5 linked regions of the Oryzias latipes genome follow. The protein of the gene in region 1 purifies or fractionates together with the protein of each later gene. This does not show direct contact. Links are inferred from orthologs where the notes say so. Each region holds a gene or a part of one and is shown in the gene's direction. Other genes may lie near its edges. The genes, in order: fxr1, tdrd3, g3bp1, cep63 and orc2.

What was found.
Region 2: the proteins of fxr1 (region 1) and tdrd3 purify together in Homo sapiens (affinity purification with mass spectrometry; 3 studies listed by BioGRID and IntAct, with this or other methods). This does not show direct contact. The link is inferred for Oryzias latipes from reciprocal best matches to the Homo sapiens genes FXR1 and TDRD3.
Region 3: the proteins of fxr1 (region 1) and g3bp1 purify together in Homo sapiens (affinity purification with mass spectrometry; 3 studies listed by BioGRID and IntAct, with this or other methods). This does not show direct contact. The link is inferred for Oryzias latipes from reciprocal best matches to the Homo sapiens genes FXR1 and G3BP1.
Region 4: the proteins of fxr1 (region 1) and cep63 purify together in Homo sapiens (co-immunoprecipitation; 3 studies listed by BioGRID and IntAct, with this or other methods). This does not show direct contact. The link is inferred for Oryzias latipes from reciprocal best matches to the Homo sapiens genes FXR1 and CEP63.
Region 5: the proteins of fxr1 (region 1) and orc2 purify together in Homo sapiens (affinity purification with mass spectrometry; 4 studies listed by BioGRID and IntAct, with this or other methods). This does not show direct contact. The link is inferred for Oryzias latipes from reciprocal best matches to the Homo sapiens genes FXR1 and ORC2.

The regions. Positions count from the first base shown.
Region 1 is NC_019862.2:18,754,718-18,758,717, reverse strand, and holds the start of fxr1 (fragile X mental retardation syndrome-related protein 1), read left to right. Parts: upstream 1-1,184; 5' UTR 1,185-1,228; coding exon 1,229-1,279; intron 1,280-4,000. UniProt on the Homo sapiens protein: mRNA-binding protein that acts as a regulator of mRNAs translation and/or stability, and which is required for various processes, such as neurogenesis, muscle development and spermatogenesis.
Region 2 is NC_019861.2:15,652,704-15,656,221, reverse strand, and holds part of tdrd3 (tudor domain-containing protein 3), read left to right. Parts: intron 1-1,551; coding exon 1,552-1,617; intron 1,618-2,074; coding exon 2,075-2,235; intron 2,236-3,277; coding exon 3,278-3,419; intron 3,420-3,518. UniProt on the Homo sapiens protein: Scaffolding protein that specifically recognizes and binds dimethylarginine-containing proteins. Plays a role in the regulation of translation of target mRNAs by binding Arg/Gly-rich motifs (GAR) in dimethylarginine-containing proteins.
Region 3 is NC_019868.2:28,987,380-28,991,448, forward strand, and holds the start of g3bp1 (ras GTPase-activating protein-binding protein 1), read left to right. Parts: upstream 1-1,258; 5' UTR 1,259-1,385; intron 1,386-4,069. UniProt on the Homo sapiens protein: Protein involved in various processes, such as stress granule formation and innate immunity. Plays an essential role in stress granule formation.
Region 4 is NC_019862.2:2,679,611-2,683,128, reverse strand, and holds part of cep63 (centrosomal protein of 63 kDa), read left to right. Parts: intron 1-1,020; coding exon 1,021-1,164; intron 1,165-1,598; coding exon 1,599-1,701; intron 1,702-1,784; coding exon 1,785-1,928; intron 1,929-2,082; coding exon 2,083-2,169; intron 2,170-2,261; coding exon 2,262-2,401; intron 2,402-2,464; coding exon 2,465-2,795; intron 2,796-2,863; coding exon 2,864-3,055; 3' UTR 3,056-3,518. UniProt on the Homo sapiens protein: Required for normal spindle assembly.
Region 5 is NC_019875.2:17,269,189-17,271,565, reverse strand, and holds the end of orc2 (origin recognition complex subunit 2), read left to right. Parts: intron 1-486; coding exon 487-633; intron 634-716; coding exon 717-888; intron 889-1,315; coding exon 1,316-1,377; intron 1,378-1,455; coding exon 1,456-1,574; intron 1,575-1,649; coding exon 1,650-1,733; 3' UTR 1,734-1,862; downstream 1,863-2,377. Other genes in the region: c17h21orf2 (protein C21orf2), read right to left, coding at 2,092-2,244, 2,335-2,377. UniProt on the Homo sapiens protein: Component of the origin recognition complex (ORC) that binds origins of replication. DNA-binding is ATP-dependent. The specific DNA sequences that define origins of replication have not been identified yet.

The DNA.
Region 1 (4,000 bases):
GCTCTTTGGATACAGTTCCAACTATCCGTCTCCTCAATTAGTCTTCAATTTTCCTCTTCCGGCCACGTCCAGGGAGGTTGGCTACTGTCCCGTGGGTCTTAAACTTCTGAATAATATGTGCCACTGTCGTCACAGGAACTTCAAGCTGCTTAGAGATGGTTTTATGAGCCCAGACCTGAATCCCATTGAACATCTGTGGAAGGAGCTGAAACATGCCATTTGGAGAAGACACCCGTCAAACCTGAGACAACTGGAGCACTTTGCTCATGAGGAGTGGGCCAAAATACCTGTGGACAGGTCCAGAAGGCTCATTGACAAATGCAGAAACTGTTTAATTGCAGTGATTGCCTCAAAAGGTTGTGCAACAAAATATCGAGTTATGGGTACGATCATTTTTGTCCAGCCTTATTTCATTAGTTTGTTTTTTTAAATAATTCTATTAATCAACGACTCAAAAGCAATGGCTGATTTTGATTATTTAATTTTCAACAAATTTTAATATATTGTTACTTTTGAACGTTTCAAGTCATTTCAGTGAGCATTGTGGGCTTTCTTTCTTTAACTGAGGGGTACCAACAATTTTGTTCACCACTGTTTATAATGCACAGTCTCTAAGCTGAAATCAGAAAGCACACAATAAAGAATTGATCAAATTTCCAGTCTGTGTTCTAGTATTCTTTAGTGCAGTTGATGCTGATCAAAGCTGTAAGCCTGCTGTGTTTACAGCCTTTTTTTAATGCAAGATACTAGACTGAACCACATCATTCTGTTGTATTAAAGATTTGGATCCTGATGAGTGTAGGTGAAAAGAAATACAAAATTTCAAAATACTAAATACTTAAGCAAATTAGCTAGTCCAATAATGGCTTTAAAAAAATTTTTTTTATATCTAGCTATATTACAATCTGCATAAAATTTCACACTAAATAATAGATCTATTTTATTGTATTGCTTCATCACTAAAATTACTTAAATAAAACACAGCAATGTAGCTTTCTAACATTAAAAAACAAACAAACAAAAAAAAAAAACAGGACAACAAATCGTCCAAAACCTTGTTGATCCTTTTCACAAACAGTAACCCAAAAATGTAATTTGGCTGTAAGTTAATAATTTTAAAGTTGGGAGTATCTGCCCACAAAAACGCGAAAGGACAGGTGTTGGCCCAAACTTCAAACCTCAGGCTTGATGGAACACCTGTCGACCCAGCATCCTTTGCGTATCCAATATGGAAGAACTGGCGGTGGAGGTCCGTGGCTCTCGCGGCGCTTATTACAAGGTAAATACCGGGGCATCCGTGCACCTTTGACCTTCTGTCTTTCACAAATTGTTTACTATGATAACCTAAGTTCATTGGACTTGATTACGTGTCCCATCTTCCTCTAAATTCATCCAGCTGCTTGCTGTAAGCCTTTAGCAGAGTTAGCCAAAATTAGCAGGCTAGGCTAACGTCGATGATTGTGAACATTCGTTATTTATGATTATTATATTGACTATAATCAAATCCAGAAAGCATAATCCGTTTTGTAAGACAGCTGACTTGTTTTATAGTGTATCTTTTAACACACAATGGACTTTTTCTTCGGGTTTTCGTAAGCTAAAGTTAGCTTACTAGCTCACTGGTAATTCTGTTGACGTCAGGTAGGTTCTTGCCCTAGTTCGGTTGCTAAAGGGCTTTTTACTCCATGGAACATAAGGACGTGATGAGTTTGTTAAATGTACATATTAGGGATTTGAAATCTCGACGTTAGGTTTTCTATGCACGTGGCGTACTTCTTCACACTTGTCTGCCACTGTTCATTCACTGAGACTGTATCATGCCCAAGCTATCTTTACTATTTCTGCGTATGCGAGTCAGCTGTTCCTTGTCAATCCTGAGCAGCTGGCATGCTGGGAGAGGGTCGCTCATTTCAAAGAATTACAGTGTATTTATAGTCCTGCAATCTGAAGTGGCACCAAAGTCTCCCCTTTTCTTCCTTCCATGTCTCCTTTTTCATCATCCTTTCCCCCCCATCTACTATTTTAATTTCTTACTACTACTAGCATAATGTTTAACATGTTTTCTTTTTGCCAGGCCACTTTGTAAACCAACACTACATGCTAAAATAGTTTCACTTGAGTAAATTACAGCTAAACCAAGCAACTGTGGGTATGTTTTGTGAGTTTTGTTACTGTGATTCCAAATATCTCCTAGGAATAATAATTAGAATGGGTTTTGATTTCACTATAGATGTTGCAAAACAAGTTTTTTATTTATTTATTTATTTAATTGTAACTCGACTCCTTTTATACTTGTGTAGGGACTTTCTGAACTCTGAAAAGAAAGAAGTGAAAACATAAGCGATAGATTGTAAGTTGTGGTGTTAGTCTGTAAACAGTAAGTGGAAAAAAAGTGAAGTAGTGGTCCCATTATATCATTTTAAAGTGTTTTTTTAAATGACTTTTAGATTCATTTGAGTCGGGACAAATTCAAGTTTATTTAGACCCAGCCCAGAGTTAACTATGTAATGATAGAAGAGTGAGCATGCAACAGTTACTTTCTTGAGTTTTATCATGCCTTCAAAATATTAAGCAAACTAACAAAGGAAGAGGGACATTTGGGTAAATTTAAATATCTTGAAGTCCCATCAAGCACCCTCTGAGCATCTCCATGTGCCTTTGATTGTCAGTTAGACTAAAAAAAAGAAATTAGAAACGTGTTTACTCTTTACCTGGATATTGTAGGGAAGCTGATTGGTAACATTGATGTTAATCTGAACAAGTCAAAACAGTGAGAAGGGTCATAAATAGATTTTATTCAGAATTTAAGGTTTACCATTATTACTTTGTTCGGATATTTCTTGCGTTTTTTTGTTTAACTGATGTCCTTTTATCCTAAGTTAAAATTTAGAAGTCTCTATGTAACTTTATGGCATTTGTAGTTTTTGTGAGCCTGTAAATGTCTTCTCTGATAGTAAAATGTGAAGATTAAGGGGATAAACAGCTTGTTACATTTTTTTCACTTCAACGAAACCCTTCGGTCTACCCTATGGTTTATTACTTTTCTTTACTGGAAGATCTAGATAGTGTCTGCACATCATGGTTTAGGCAAATGCTTAAAACCACTTTATAAAGCTAAGTTTTGAATCTAGAGGAAACATACATATCTGTTGCATTTTCTATGATAATCTAATAATAATATAAAAACAGATGCTGATTAGCATAAAGAAAGGCAAGGAAAAAAATGAAACTATTTTTGAACAAAAGTTCATGGTAAGTTCTGCTATAGGAGCTGGAACTGCACCACACCTGATCATTACATGACCATAAGGGGAATCATTGACCACTCATGAAATAACAGTTGGATAAGTCTGTTAACCCATACATAACACAAGATAAATGTTAAGCTAGTGATTCAATGTCAGCTTGTCATTTCCAATAGGTATACTGAACTGGGTTTCTGGTAAGGATATTTTTAACAAATGGGAGGACTGTTCTCAGAAGTTTGGACTATGTACAGTGAGGCAAAAACTTATTTGGTAGTTGGGAGCAAGTTGTCCCTCTTAAAAAGATGAGAAAAGTCATAAGTTCACCTCAATGCTTTTTGTAATCCTGTTATCAATGATGGATATCAAATGTTTCCTGTAGGTCTTCTGCAGGTTGGTAAGCACTGTAGCTGATATTTATACACATTTTGTCAGTGTAGATCTTCTCAAGAGCTGTGATGTTCTGGGGCTGTCACTGTGCAACAAAGACTTTCAACTCATTCCAAAGATTCTGTATTGGGTTGGGTCTATTGGACTAACCCACTCCAGAACGTTGAGATACTTTTTACATAGCCACTCCTTTATTGCCTGGGCCACGTGTTTGGCATTGACAGGCCGATGGATCCAGATATATTTAATAGTCAATTATGATGTTGATGGAAGGACGACTTTGCCCAAAATCTCACCATTCATGTGGCGTTAATGGCGACTGTGGTCCAGTGGTAGGGCGGTTGACCTATGATCGGAAGATTTAA
Region 2 (3,518 bases), on another chromosome or scaffold:
GTGTGGACGTTGTTCAGAAGGAAGTGTTATCGTCTTTCAGTCAGAAAGTTTCTGTATTGATCCCTCCCTTCGGCTTTAGTGTCCTTGGGCACTGCATCCCGTTTTGGCCCCTTCTTAAAACGTTTATAACATGAGAGTCCCTATGAAATGAATATCCAATTTCATTCCTGACATTCTTGATGTTCATCTGCTTACATTGGTTTGCATTCAGAAATGAAATTTACTGAACTCCAGCTTCTTTTCTCTAATAATGTATATTAAAAACATTTTAATGCTGCAGTTTCATACTTTTTACATTGTAATGACATAATAAAATAATTGACATAACAATTTCCTTTAAAGCTCTCTACATAGTCATGTGCAGCCTGCCTGAAGAGATCAAAACCCAAGGTAGAGGTTGAATTATTAGTGACGAAGCTGCTTATTTACCTGATGTCTTTTTCTTTTCACTAGATTATCAGTAATTAGATTAAAAAGTCTGAATGTACAGCCTTTAGTGGACATGGATTGACTTGAACTTTCTGTGAACAAAGGCGCTTTAATGTGACAGAGGAAGTTAGTCAATCATTCATGCTGTGCCTCCCGCGGATCAAGAAGGAGATGTCTGAAAACGCTGCAGGCCGTCCGACTCACTGCAGTGCGCTGCATCTGCTCCCCAATATATCTACGTCCGGCCTTTGGGTTGTGTGTGTTTAGTTGAGATGTTGAGTCAGCAAACTACTTCTCCCTTTAAATGCTTAATTAAACTGAGGGCTTTAAGGAATTGGTGGCGTTTCGTGCTGAAATATCAAAACGTAAGGGTTTCTTGTTAGTGTGATCTCATCAATAATGATGTTCTGGAGTGTCATTAATGGATCCCGGTTCTCCTTGGTTCTGCTCTTCTCAAATGTACTGGCTTGTTCTGTCACATGAAGAAGTGACAGGAATACTTCCCCCAAGTGACAGCTCATGCAGAGCAGCATTATGTTGGTGGTGATGATGATGATGATGATGATGATGATGAGAGCTTCACGTTCGCTCTGCACTCTGTCACTCAGGCATGATGGAAAAGAATCCATGTGCACACACACGTTTGCCTTTCATCAGTTGACTGATTTAGCAAATAAATGACAGCTGATTAAACTAAAGCAAAAAACAAAAACTAGATTGATGTTTTCTAGTAGAATCGGTGCGATTATTTACTTAATTAAATTATACATTTTGCATACATTGCCGGCTGTGGGGGGTGAAATGACTATGATATTTATATTGTATTTCAGCATTCTTGATATTTTTAACACATTCCTTTGGCATTTTTCTAAATATATAGGTTAGATATTAAGAAAATTAAGCTCAAAATTGCATATGTGAGAATTTCTTTCAAAGTATCTCATGTAATTATTTAAGTGAAAAACTGTAAGAAGCTTGAATGAGAATGATTGGTTTGGTTAAATCTACTCAGAACTCCTTCCTTCAATTTAGTGTCAATTTTCAAGAACTGTTAATATCCACAAATTGAAATATAATGTTTTGTTCGTGCATTTTTGTTATACTGTTGTTATTCCCTTGCAGACGGATCTTAGGCCTATCGGAAGCAAGATTTTACCATCTGATATCAACAGTGGAAAAACAGAGAAGGTAGGAAGAAAGAAATCTTGCAGAAAATGAAAACTGTGTTAAGCTGTAGTTCTCAGGATCACCACTAGATGGTGATGACACTCTGCCAAATGATCATGAAAAAAATGGTGGACCTTTTACTAAAACTGAAGGTGGTCATCTTAAAACACAACAAATTATGATTAGTTTTGTTTTCTTTATCCTGGAATTGCTTTGCACGCTTATTCGACTTTGTTTTTATGTGAGCACAAACTTAAAAATAATAAAAAAATCATGGCTTAAGGCAGTAATTCTGCACTGATAGGTAACGAAATAGTTTAACAGGCAAACGCTAAGGGTAACGTATACAAACATACTATTTTTATTGAAAAAGGTAAAAATGTTATCCATTTTCTACTGTATTCGGCTTCCTTGTAACTTGTGTTGCTGGCGTGTCTGCTTTATAATCGATCCTTCTTTGTCTGTTGCACATGGCTAGCTGGAGGGCCCATGTGTTCTCCAGGTACAAAAGGTGAGAAACATCTCAGCCCCCAAAGACAACGAGGAGTCCCAGGGTGCACCGCGGATGCTGCGCCTACAGATGACAGATGGGCACACCACCTGTGTCGGATTGGAGTTTAAACATCTGTCCAAGATTAGGTATGCTGCATATTTGAACAAACGAGGAGTACAGTTAAATGCAGCTGTCAGGGCAGTCATCACTGGTTAAAAGGGTTAAAAATCATACTTATTCTACAAATGGCTAATTGCTAAATAAACGGCATGATGTTTGGTACGCAGATCCTGGGGCATTTAGCCAGCTTTTATATTTAGAGCTAGCGTGCTAATTGCGAGCACACTCTGCTCTGACACCCTGTCAGCGCTCTCACCGCACCACACGCCTGGATTGTTTTCCCTTTATCTGCAATTTCCACGTAGTGGCAGCTGATCTAGCTGCTCCCGGCCTTAATTACATCTCCATCCAAGCAGTGGTGGCCTTGGTGATGGCTGCCATGGTGACTCTCTCCAGCCTGTACAGGTGGAGTGGCCAGAATGTGGGTGTTGACTTCCTGCTGGGATGAGAGGAGAAAACCGAACAAATCCCCTCTTTATGAGCGGCGCACACACACAGACTCACACACACTGGCAGCCAACAACAGTGGTTTGTGTTTATTGCTTAAAGTGTCTGTAAGCGCGTGGAAAAGGGGATGAAGGACTTGAAGAAAGTCAACTATTAGGTTGCAAGTTGAATAGCATGTTTGTCTGTAGTTGAGAGAAAAACAACAACCAGTGTCTCATTTCTGCACTTGCCTCCATCAAGAGAACACTTTCTATCCCAAAGGTTAAGAGCAAAATCTGTAATTGTTCCTTTGGCTTCCTGCATCAGGATCTGGAAATCCCTCTAAGTCTCAGTGGTTTCCTAATGAGACAGGCAGAGGCCTTATCAGGCCTGATGAGATAGAGGCGCTTTTAATTTACCATGAGGATGGGGGAGCAGCTGGGATTATTAATGGTCTCTTCTAGCCGTGCCACCCATCTGCTGACAGAGCTTCATGCCTCATGTCATTTAGAAAGTGCTATCAGGAAGGCAATGGGATGTTTTTGCCGTTTTTTTAATGTGTGAGAATCACGCTTTAAAAAGAGTTTGTGTTGCTTTGCTAAAACATGTCTTATTTAAGCATTGTTTTGTTGTCCTTTTCAGTCTGAATACACCCCCCGGAACAAAGGTGAAGCTTCTTGGTACAGTCCAGGTTAAAAATGGTTGTTTGCTTCTTGAAGATTCAAACATCTTAGTCCTTGGAGGAGAAGTTGAGCACATGGTGGAGAAATGGGAGCTCCAAAGGGTGAGATTGTTTTTTTTTTGGCTTAAAAGACAATATCTAATTTTAGCAATCATTGCTCTTTTTATTTCATTTGGGCTTACATAGCTTTGAACATGGAGT
Region 3 (4,069 bases), on another chromosome or scaffold:
TCGTGTCTGTCAGCCTCCATCTTATCTGTTAAACTGAAACCGTTGTTTGCACATTTCCCAGCCTCTTTTTTTAAATTTACCACCAGCTTCAATTATCTGCAGACGGTTCAGCATTTAAGCCAAAGCCACCACATCCATCATCTGCGTCTGAGTGCTGCCTGATTCTGTTTGCTGTCTGTAGGAGCTGTGCAACATCTCAACCAGTCTAACCTTCAATGTTAGGAGCTCCGGCATTCCTTCCCCCATTCAAGACCCAACACTCCAGGTTTTATTCGTTTTCACAAATAAACCCCATGTGTGTTTTTCCCCCATCATTTGAAGAGTATAAATGTTTAAAACGTCTTCCAAACAGTGGGAAAAGTAACCTTTTAGGGCTGCAGCAAACCTGTGCCGAACATGCAGTCCTCTCAGAGCAAACGGCATCCGGCAGCGACCGCTCACAGCTGCTCGTGGTCCCCTGGGAGACGGCAGAGGGAGAGACGCAGCACCCAGTTACCATCTGTACCTGCTCATCCAGCCCTCAGCAGCAAGAATGCACAGCGGCGTGAACCCAGCGTGCCCCAGCAGGAAAAACTCCCCCTGACTCTGACAGAGGAAACAACGGAAGACATCTGTAATTTAATATCAGCTCTTTTTTTTTTTTAAGCTGATGTCTCTGTGCTGACATCATGACAGCCATATTGTGGTTTGAGGCTCAAACATCTGCAGCAGTTTAGTCATGGGATCAGTAGCTCTATGTGTTTAGTTTGTCTTTTTAAAAGATGACTAAAAAGATGAACTTTTCTTTTTCTTTAGTGCACTACACGTTTTTCTTTAGTGCACTACAGGAGCAGACATTTTTCCAGTCTGCTCTGACTGTCTGCAGTCATTTCAGTCTCAATGGCGTTACATTTACCCACCTGCTTATTTTAAAGCTAAAGCACTCTCGCATTCGAACCCCTTTGATTGATGACGGTGGATAATTCTGGATGAAAAATTCACGGCGACCTAAAATCACTGATTCTGAACGCATTTGTCGCCTCCACGCGGTGGACAGCCGCTGGTGCACATCTGTGTAGAGAATCTGCCGGGATACGCCTGTCGGTATAACCATCGCACCCTCTGCCACCGCCGCGCGGTGGTTGGCTCCCTTGGAATAGAGGGAGCTTCGCGATTGGCTGGATGCGCGGGAGGCTTGCCATTCTCTCACCCCATTGGTCAGCGGGTCGTGGATGCGTCATTTCATTGGCTGAAGCTTCTTTATACGGAGGGACGTCAGATTTGGCTGCGGAGGTGAAACCGGTACCCGGGCTCTACAGCACGCCGCGAAGCCGCGCCAGCGCCTCGTCGAAGTCCATAGATTAAAAAATATATTTATACATTTTCCAAAAACTATTGACTCATTGGTAAGTTTTAATGTCAAACCTACTGTTTGAATCCAGGCAGAAAGTGAAACTAGAATGAAAATAGGATTAACGTGGTGGCTCATCCGGGCTCCATCTACATCCTGATGTTAGCTTCCTTTGACATTGTCGCGCGGTCTATAGACGGACGCGCTGAAATCCGATTTAAACGTTTATACTTGCTTTTTAATCGCGATCAGAAGTCCGGAATGGGTTTTTTCCGACATATGTATGAAATTGTTGCTGTTACAAATCACCCACGACGGCTTGGTTTTACTCTGAGCTGCAGGAATTAGCCGCAGCCCTCGTTAGCACACCCCCCCCCCCCTCTGGTTTTTCCAGCTTTCTTTCCTTATTTTTCGTGGGGTAAATTCACCTTTTCCCTAAACAGAGTTAGCTTCGTTTCTACGCGTCTTTGGATGTTAAAAGCGTCATTTTGTGGCCTCGGCGTCGGGATCGGAGCGTGGACGAGCACCGCCCGGGACACGTGCTGGGGCTGCTGAGCGCCCCCCCCCCCCCCCCCCCCCCCCGTCAGAATTCGTCTTTTGGGGTTGGTGGGCCCGTCCAGCTGTCCCGGATTAGATCGGAATGGACCAGGACAGCGCACGACACGTGAATCCCGGTTAAATTTGTCAAGGCCTCGGGGGCGCGTGTCAGCGCGGTCCCGGAAAGAGAGCGCGCGGGTCGGCCGTTTCCGTCGCCGTTCCCGCGGCGTGGTCTTTGTCTGCGGGCCGCGCGTGCAGATCTCCACGCACTTCTGCGGAAGCACGTTAAATGATTGGTCCCGTCTATGTTAGGCCCCTCGCGGATCAGACCCGCGTGACTGCGGGAGCTCCCGGGCCGTTCCGTGTTAAAAATGGCAGATGGCTGTTGGCCGTGAGAACAGATGTCAAAGTGGCTCGTGGCCTTCTGGGCTCAGAGCTTCACCTTTCCCTTCCAGGTCCTCCAAGCCAACAGTTTCCGGTTCTGTCAGCAGAACCTCTGGTGTATTTGAACCCAGATCCGCTTTATGGTGCTGAACTGAAGTGGGAAGAGAAGAATGTGCGTCTGTGGCGGCACGTCTGCTCCCTGAACCGTCCCTCCTGGTTTGTCCGTGAAACCCACTTGACAGAATAGAAGATCAACATCTTCTGATTGGCTGATCCCTCCTGATCCAGGATCATGGCCATGTGCAAAACATCAGGAATATCCTGGAAACCCGGAAGAACCCGTCACTGCCGGGGGGGTCAAACCCTGTAGAATCGTGAAAGCGCTTCCAGGTTCAAGTGGGGATGTATTAAACCCAAAGAACTGTTCAATTAGAGAATCCGGTTTCATCAGGGCAAGATGATCTAATCCACTTGCAGATGAACTCTGGTGTGGTTCACTTCAGTGTAAATGCAAACTGATCGTCCTCTGATTATGGAGAGGCAGGAAGGTTCACTTCTGGCTCAAACCCATTGAAGGAATTCCAGTCGCCTTCTTGTTGTCTTTTTGTGAAACGGACGGCGCCATGTTGGAGGCAGACGTAGAGTTGATCTGAATTGATCGGTGTTTCTATGGCAACCACTCTAAGTGTCAGACTCCAGGCCTCGTTGGCCTGTGTCCCACATGTCTTCCCATCAACTTGAAATTGAAGCTCCTTATTGGCTAAACACACCTGATTTCTGAAAAACCTGCTGGATAACGGCCCTTAAGGCCTGCAGTCTGACTCCAATCAGGAGTGAGCTTGTTGGAAGGCCACGCCCCCACCCATGAAAGCAGGCTTCTTTGGTTTGTGGTTTTGGGATCCCATTTGAAAGATCCTGGTCCATCCTCCATAACATGTAGAAATTCTGGTGACACTTTTCTTTTAGTGAGAAAATAACGACACATTTCTGCTATCTGGTACACATGTATTACATTTATAGGCTTTTTCTACAGAGGAGGATTTCTCTCTTTGGTGTTGAAATTTGCTGATTCAGACTGCGGCTGCTGGTTGCATGATGCTGGAGGATGGTCTCTAACCTCATTCCACATCAGACGGGGGGGGGGGGGGGGGGGGGCATTGTTACTGCACTCGTCCCCTTCCTGGGAAATCATGGCTAATGCTCGCGTAAACAAGAATAAATGCCTCATCTGCAATACTTAAACATTTTTCTTATTTTCTATTCAACGGTTGCCATGGCGTCCAAATACACAATCTGAAACATCTGGGGGGGGGTTTCCCCCTCGTGTTGTGGACCTGGAGCCGTTTCCTGGATCCGAAGTGACTTCAGAACCGTCGCTCACTCAGTCACAGGTTTCGGTTGGTGTGACATTGATCACTCTGGATGAACGTCAGCGATGAAATTCTTTTGTTCTGCTACCTTTGCTAATAAAGGTTTGTTTGAAATTCTCTACTACATTTGAGTGGGAAGCTCGTGTTGCACCTTTTTTCAGAAGTTTCCCCACATTTGGTTGATTAGGGTTTTGTAAGTTGTCGCCAGAGCAACAGAAACATTAGCTAAAGATGAGTCATTTTGCAGCAGTTGTTTAACTTTCCATTTCACGCTCGCTTTGTCCACCCAACGCTTGTTGCCCCCATGCTGCCGTTGGTTCTTGTGGGCGTGGCAGACATCAGCTGTGAACCATGAGATTCTTTTTAGAGGTTCATTGGTCGCTGGGGAGGGCTGTGGGGCTCCCCCCCGCCTGGATAACCACCGCAGCTCAGACGCTCCCTTCTGTTC
Region 4 (3,518 bases), about 16 Mb from region 1:
GCCCAACTTTGCAAAAAAATCGTATTACATTTAGTTTTACGTTTAACACGTCTGGCTTGAATACGACTTTTCTGTCAAAAGTAGGTCACGGGGTCACAGGCGTAAACATGAAGTCACGAAACATCGATACATCGATAAGTGTTCTGAAACTCAGTTATGAGACTAAAATGGAAAAGAACTTTTTAGAATGTTCCTGATCCCAGAACGGGGAAATTCTCTTGTAACCATAGCTCTGTAGAGAAAAAGCAGATCATAATAACGGGGATCTCCAGACACATTTTGCCGTTGCTAGGCAACAACAGCTGATCGAGTAAACAATGCACCGCAGATCGTTTCAGACCCAGAAGGGAGCAGCAGGAATGCCACTTATCTATGAAAAAAAAGAGAAGGATGGAACAAAACAAAATGAGCAGCGAAAGAAGGCTAACTAGCAGCTAACTAGCAGCTAACTAGCAGCTGACTAGCAGCTGACTAGCAGCTGACTAGCAGCTGACTAGCAGCTGACTAGCAGCTGACTAGCAGCCGACTAGCAGCTGACTAGCAGCCGACTATCGGGAGTTAAAAAAAACTGTCAGCAGAATCAGAAAACTAAACTTTCTTTCTGTATCTGGATACTTTTGCTGGCGTATAACATGAGTTGTTCTGTTTTCTCCACACACCCTAAATGTTTTGTATTGTTAATAAACTCCTCGTCTTGTGCTGATGACATCACTGCTGCCACAGGAAGGTTGGTGGCGATCACAGACGATCACTGATCTACGTTTACAGAACATGAATGAAGTGAAGGGAAAGAAGAAAAGCTGCTCCTCAGTGATTGTTCTCATTGCAGAGCCGTCTGGGTTTTCCTGACATTCTTCTAAATGATGTAATATTCAAATGAAAGAGAAGTTGGATTTAAAACAGACATGTCAAAATGTTGTACTTCTTTTTCAAAGTGTGCACAGCGTTCTCTAGAAACAGTCGTCTGACTCGGTAGAACGGCTCCATGTTGGTAACGGTTGCTGGGCTTTTGTGTGTCAGCTCTCTGGAGGACTGCCTGTCGGCTCAGGGCCTGGCTGGAGTGGAAAACCTCAGAGGAGATCTGGAGAAGTCTGCAGTCCAGCTGCAGTGTTCCCGGGCCTGCGAGGCTCACCTCAAGGCGGAGCTTAAACGCACCAGAGAGAGGTAAATGCTGCCAGTACTGCCGACTCCACCGTGTCCACCTGGACTGCAGATGGTTTCTACAAAAAACACAAAGACTTCTGGAAATGAGGAAAAAGTTCCGGTGAAATCCTCTTTACATCCGGATCCAGGAAGAAGTTATCCGTTTAGAGAGAAAACCAAGACCAGTGGATTTTTGCTCTTTCTAGAAGCAGCTAAACCAGCTGTTGAAATGAGGTTTCTGTCAGATTCTTTTGGAGCAGATGAGGATTTTGTGCAGCCCATCATGGAAACCTCCACGCTGCTGACTTCTGGATGTTCACTCTCAGCACCGCAGACATCCAGCATGGACAAAGCTGCTGACAAACCGTCTTTACAGTGAAGCAGACGTCTGGAATCAGACACGTGTTGTCTGGCTGCTGTTTTCTTCACATTATTCATCTGAGTTGTTCCTGCAGGCTGCAGGCTGTGAGCAGAGGCAGAGCTGATCGCTCAGAGACGGAGCAGGAAGTGGCCGGCCTCAAAGCACAGGTTGACTCTTCAGTTGCTGAAATGAAAAAGGTCCAAAGTCTCAGTCAAGCTAAACCTGTTTGTTGTTCATCTGTGGCCGTCATGCCTGTTTACCTCACTGTCGTCCACTGCAGCTGAGGGAGGAGCTTGAACTGGCCAGGCAGACCCACGCCGCTGAGGTTGAGGGGATGAGGGCGGAGGTTGCAAAGATGACCGGCGAGCTGCACCAGCGTGATCTGAGGATCGCCACGCTGAGCGGGGAGCGAGCAGAGCTCAGAGTGAGCTTGACCTCTGACTGCTGTGCAGCAATGACGTCTCAGTTTGTTCCTGAGCAGGAAGTTGCTTCTTGCATGAAGCATTTCTCTTGATCTGGGTCTGGGTTGCTCAGACATTGGATGGTTTCTCCTCACATTTTCTATATCCGTTTGTCAGATGACTTGGACCCAGCTGGAGACTCTGCAGAAGGAGAACCAGCATCTTCGTGACCTGCTGCAGAGACGGCAGCCTTCTTCACCAAAGGTCGCATGGTTCAGGCGTCCCCGACGCAGAGGACAGCGTCTCTGGAGCGTCTCCGGTGATCCAGTCGTAAATGTGCACTTCTGTATCCTCAGAGGGGAGAGGCCCCAGCAGCTTCACTGGGGGAGAAGCACACGGCCTCCAGAGGCAGGCCTGAAGAGGAGGATGGACAGTCGGAACAAACGGACCCTCGGCATCATGCCTCGGAGCAGACGTGCTTGGCTGCTCCTGCCAGGTGGGAGATGGCCGTCGATGATGTCTACTCACAGCTCCAGACTAACAAACCCTGTTCTCCCAGGCTTCAGATAGACACGCAGGCCGTGAGAGCCGAGGCCCCAGAATGCACCACTCACCGTGAGGGGGAGATCCAGAGGCTTTTTAAAGAGCTGCATGCTTTATCTATGTCCCCCAGAGAGCAGCACTGCAGCCAGGACCAAGACTACAGGCCTCCTGCTTCCTCCTCCTCCTCCTCCTCCTCCTCCAGCAGCACCAGTGCTGGACTGACTAGAAGAATCTCAATCCCGTCATCAAGTCCTGGTGAATTTGTTGAAGACAGGCAAAGCATAAGTCCTGGAAACTGTCTAAGCTCAGCATCTAGAGAAAGAAGAACTCTGTCTCCTACTTCAGAGGTGAGACTTCTCAGAATGTTGAACCAGCTCTGGTGTTTTTAGGATCCTCACAGGTTTTTGCCCCTCAGGAGCTTTCGTCACACGGCACACTGTCACATTTCCTGGAGGAGGAGAGCTTCAGGTCCAAGGAGCTGCTGCAGAGGCTGGACGCCCACATCCTGGGAATGAGGGAGATCAACCACAGAACCGTGTCCAAGTACGTGGACCGTGGCGTCAGGCCGGAGTGGGAGCAGACGTCCAGCGAGCGGACCCCTGTCTAATGACAGGGGGGCAACATTCTGACAGAGGCGGAAATCATGTCTCGACACGAGGGCCTCCTGGGGAACGCTTTCAGGAACGCCATCTTCACTGCAGAACAGCAAAATGACATAAACGCTTCAGTTTATTTCATTCTCACATCATCTCTTCAGGAGGAAGAAATGTGCAAGCCATGACGTTTCTGTCAGAAAAAGAAACTTCTAAATGTGATCTAAAGAACCTGGATGCTCCTCGTGGTTCGCTGGTTTCCATGGTGATTTGAAGAACTGTTCTCGTAGTCTTTAAGGGCTTAGAGAAGACATGGTGTAGCCAAACGGCAGATTCTGGCATTTTGCTCACGAAAAGAACAAACTTTAGCTTCTGAAAGCTCTCAGGATGCTGCATGGATCAGAGCTTTCAGGAGAGCCTCCATCCTTCCTGTTGCTACCCCCCCCACTGAAGCCCCCCAGCTTTTCTGTGCAGGAC
Region 5 (2,377 bases), on another chromosome or scaffold:
TGGTGCCTAAAGAAACCCCCACTCCGATGTTTTTAACATGTTCTTGTGGCATTTTTCTCATGATGGAGGACATATATAAAGAAAATTAGGCTTAAAATTGCATTGTATTTTTTTCATTTAAATTGTTGTGAATCAGAAGAAAAGCTTATTTGTGGCATGAAAAATACGCTGGGCGGGCCACAAGCCCCTGTTCTCTGAGCTCTCAGCATAATGGGTAGGTGAAGGGGGGCGGGGTTGGTATGCCAACAGTCTCACCCACAACTCAGAGGTGAAATTCTAAAGAACTTCTTCCGCTCTTCAGAAACTATGTTCTAGTAAACAACACAGGTTTTGGATTTTAGCTAAAAACCCATAATCAAAATTTAAATTCTTTGGGGGGGGGGGGGAACTACTGGGAACACTGAAAATAGCTCAAAAGATGATCGGAGTGGGTCTTTAACTCTTTTTTTCAAAAAATTTTTTAACTACACTGATGTGTATTCACAGGTCCAGATCTTCACTTGTATTTGCTAATTCACAACATCGATGGACCAATGTTACGAGGAGAAAAGACCCAGAGTGCACTGGGGCAGCTGGCGTCCCTGTCCAACTTGCACCTGGTGGCTTCTTTAGACCACATCAATGCTCCTTTAGGTGGGTGCTTGTAAGGACTCATGCTGTTGGAGTAACCCCGCACAATAAAAAGTCATGGTAGCTCAACGTTTTCTGTCTTCTAGTGTGGGACCAGTTTAAGGTGAGCCAGTTTAACTGGCTGTGGTGGGAGTGTGTGACGTTCCAGCCCTACGCAGAGGAGACGTCGTACGAAAACTCTCTTCTGGTGCAGCAGACCGGCGCTCTGGCTCTGTCTTCCCTCACACATGTGCTGCGCAGCCTGACGCCCAACGCACGGTACTGCCCACAACAATATACGGTCACCCTTTTTTCCTGATATGGGCACCACCATATTGAAGCCAGATGACATCAGTAAGCAGCGATTGGAATCCAAGTTTCTATGGCAACCACTCTCACCATATAGGAGTGAGCTTGTTGGAAGGCCACGCCCCTACCACTCGAAAGTTGGTTTGGGTGAATCTGTCAATATAGGATTTTGAACATTTGACGTTGAGACCACATACCTTTAATGAGGCATCTGATTGGCCAGTTTATTAACTGAATAACATGAACTACATAAAAAAAAGTACCAGATCAATAATGTTAATTCTAACAAATAGAATGACTGATTAATAGCTGTTTATTTCTCTATACAATGTTCACACCTCAAACCAGTTTGGGGGCTTCTTTTGGCTTTGTGTCTTCATGTCCCTTCTCTTTACAGAGGAATCTTCAGACTGCTCGTAAAGTTTCAACTGGAAAACAAAGACAACCCTTTGTATACAGGTGTTTAAAAAAAGAGTATATTAAAAACTGTTTTCTTCCTAAATTGCATTTGAAATACATTTTTTGTGGTGTGTGCAGGATTTTCCTTCCAAGATTTCTACCAGCGTTGTCGAGAGGCGTTCCTGGTGAACTCTGATCTGACTTTGAGGACTCAGCTGACCGAGTTCAGGGACCATAAACTGATCAGGACACGCAAGGTGAACTCCTTTTCATAGGTCTTCTGAACTCTCATAGTACATCGCTTTTCTGACCTCGGTGACATCATCCTCCAGGGCGCAGATGGAGTAGAGTACCTGACTGTCGCTGTGGATGCCAGCACTTTGATGGACTTCCTGGAGAACGAGGAGGGGGACTGAGGATCTGATCTGTGGACAGAAGCTTAAGTCCATCGGAACAAGCTTAAATGATGTCAAGGATTTAGTACCACCACTTTTCACTTTGTAAACTAATTAATTCAGATAAATAAAAGCTCAATTTATAGGTAATTTTATTGCTGTTATTTTTCCTCTTTAATTACAGAAATAAATGTATACATTTTGAAAAAAACATGCATAATTTTTTCCCATAAGGCTAGGTACACATGCAGAAATAAAAGTTAAAATTCTATTATAGAAAAGCTGAGGAATGTCATCCTGTGCACATTTTCTGTTTCAAAGTCCTGAGTTTTACATTCCAATGCGTTTTGGAGCTGAATGCATGCCGTTATCGTGAGTTCTAGTGCGTTTCTGTGTGGGCTGTGAGTGGCTGAGCCTCTCCTGAGCCCAGTGTGTAGGTCTGCAGCCTGTTCAGCGTGGCTGTGTGAACGATCCGAAGCTCCTCTTCATCCAGATCCCTCAGCAGGAGCAGAATCGCATCCACTGTGTGAGTCTGAAAATGCAAAGATGGCGCTAGTTAGAATAAAACTTCATGTAACATCAGCACGATGAGTTTTACTGCAGCGATGCTAATAGCAGCTACCCTTCTCATTGTTGGTTTTTCTCTGGTTGACGGAGAACAAGGA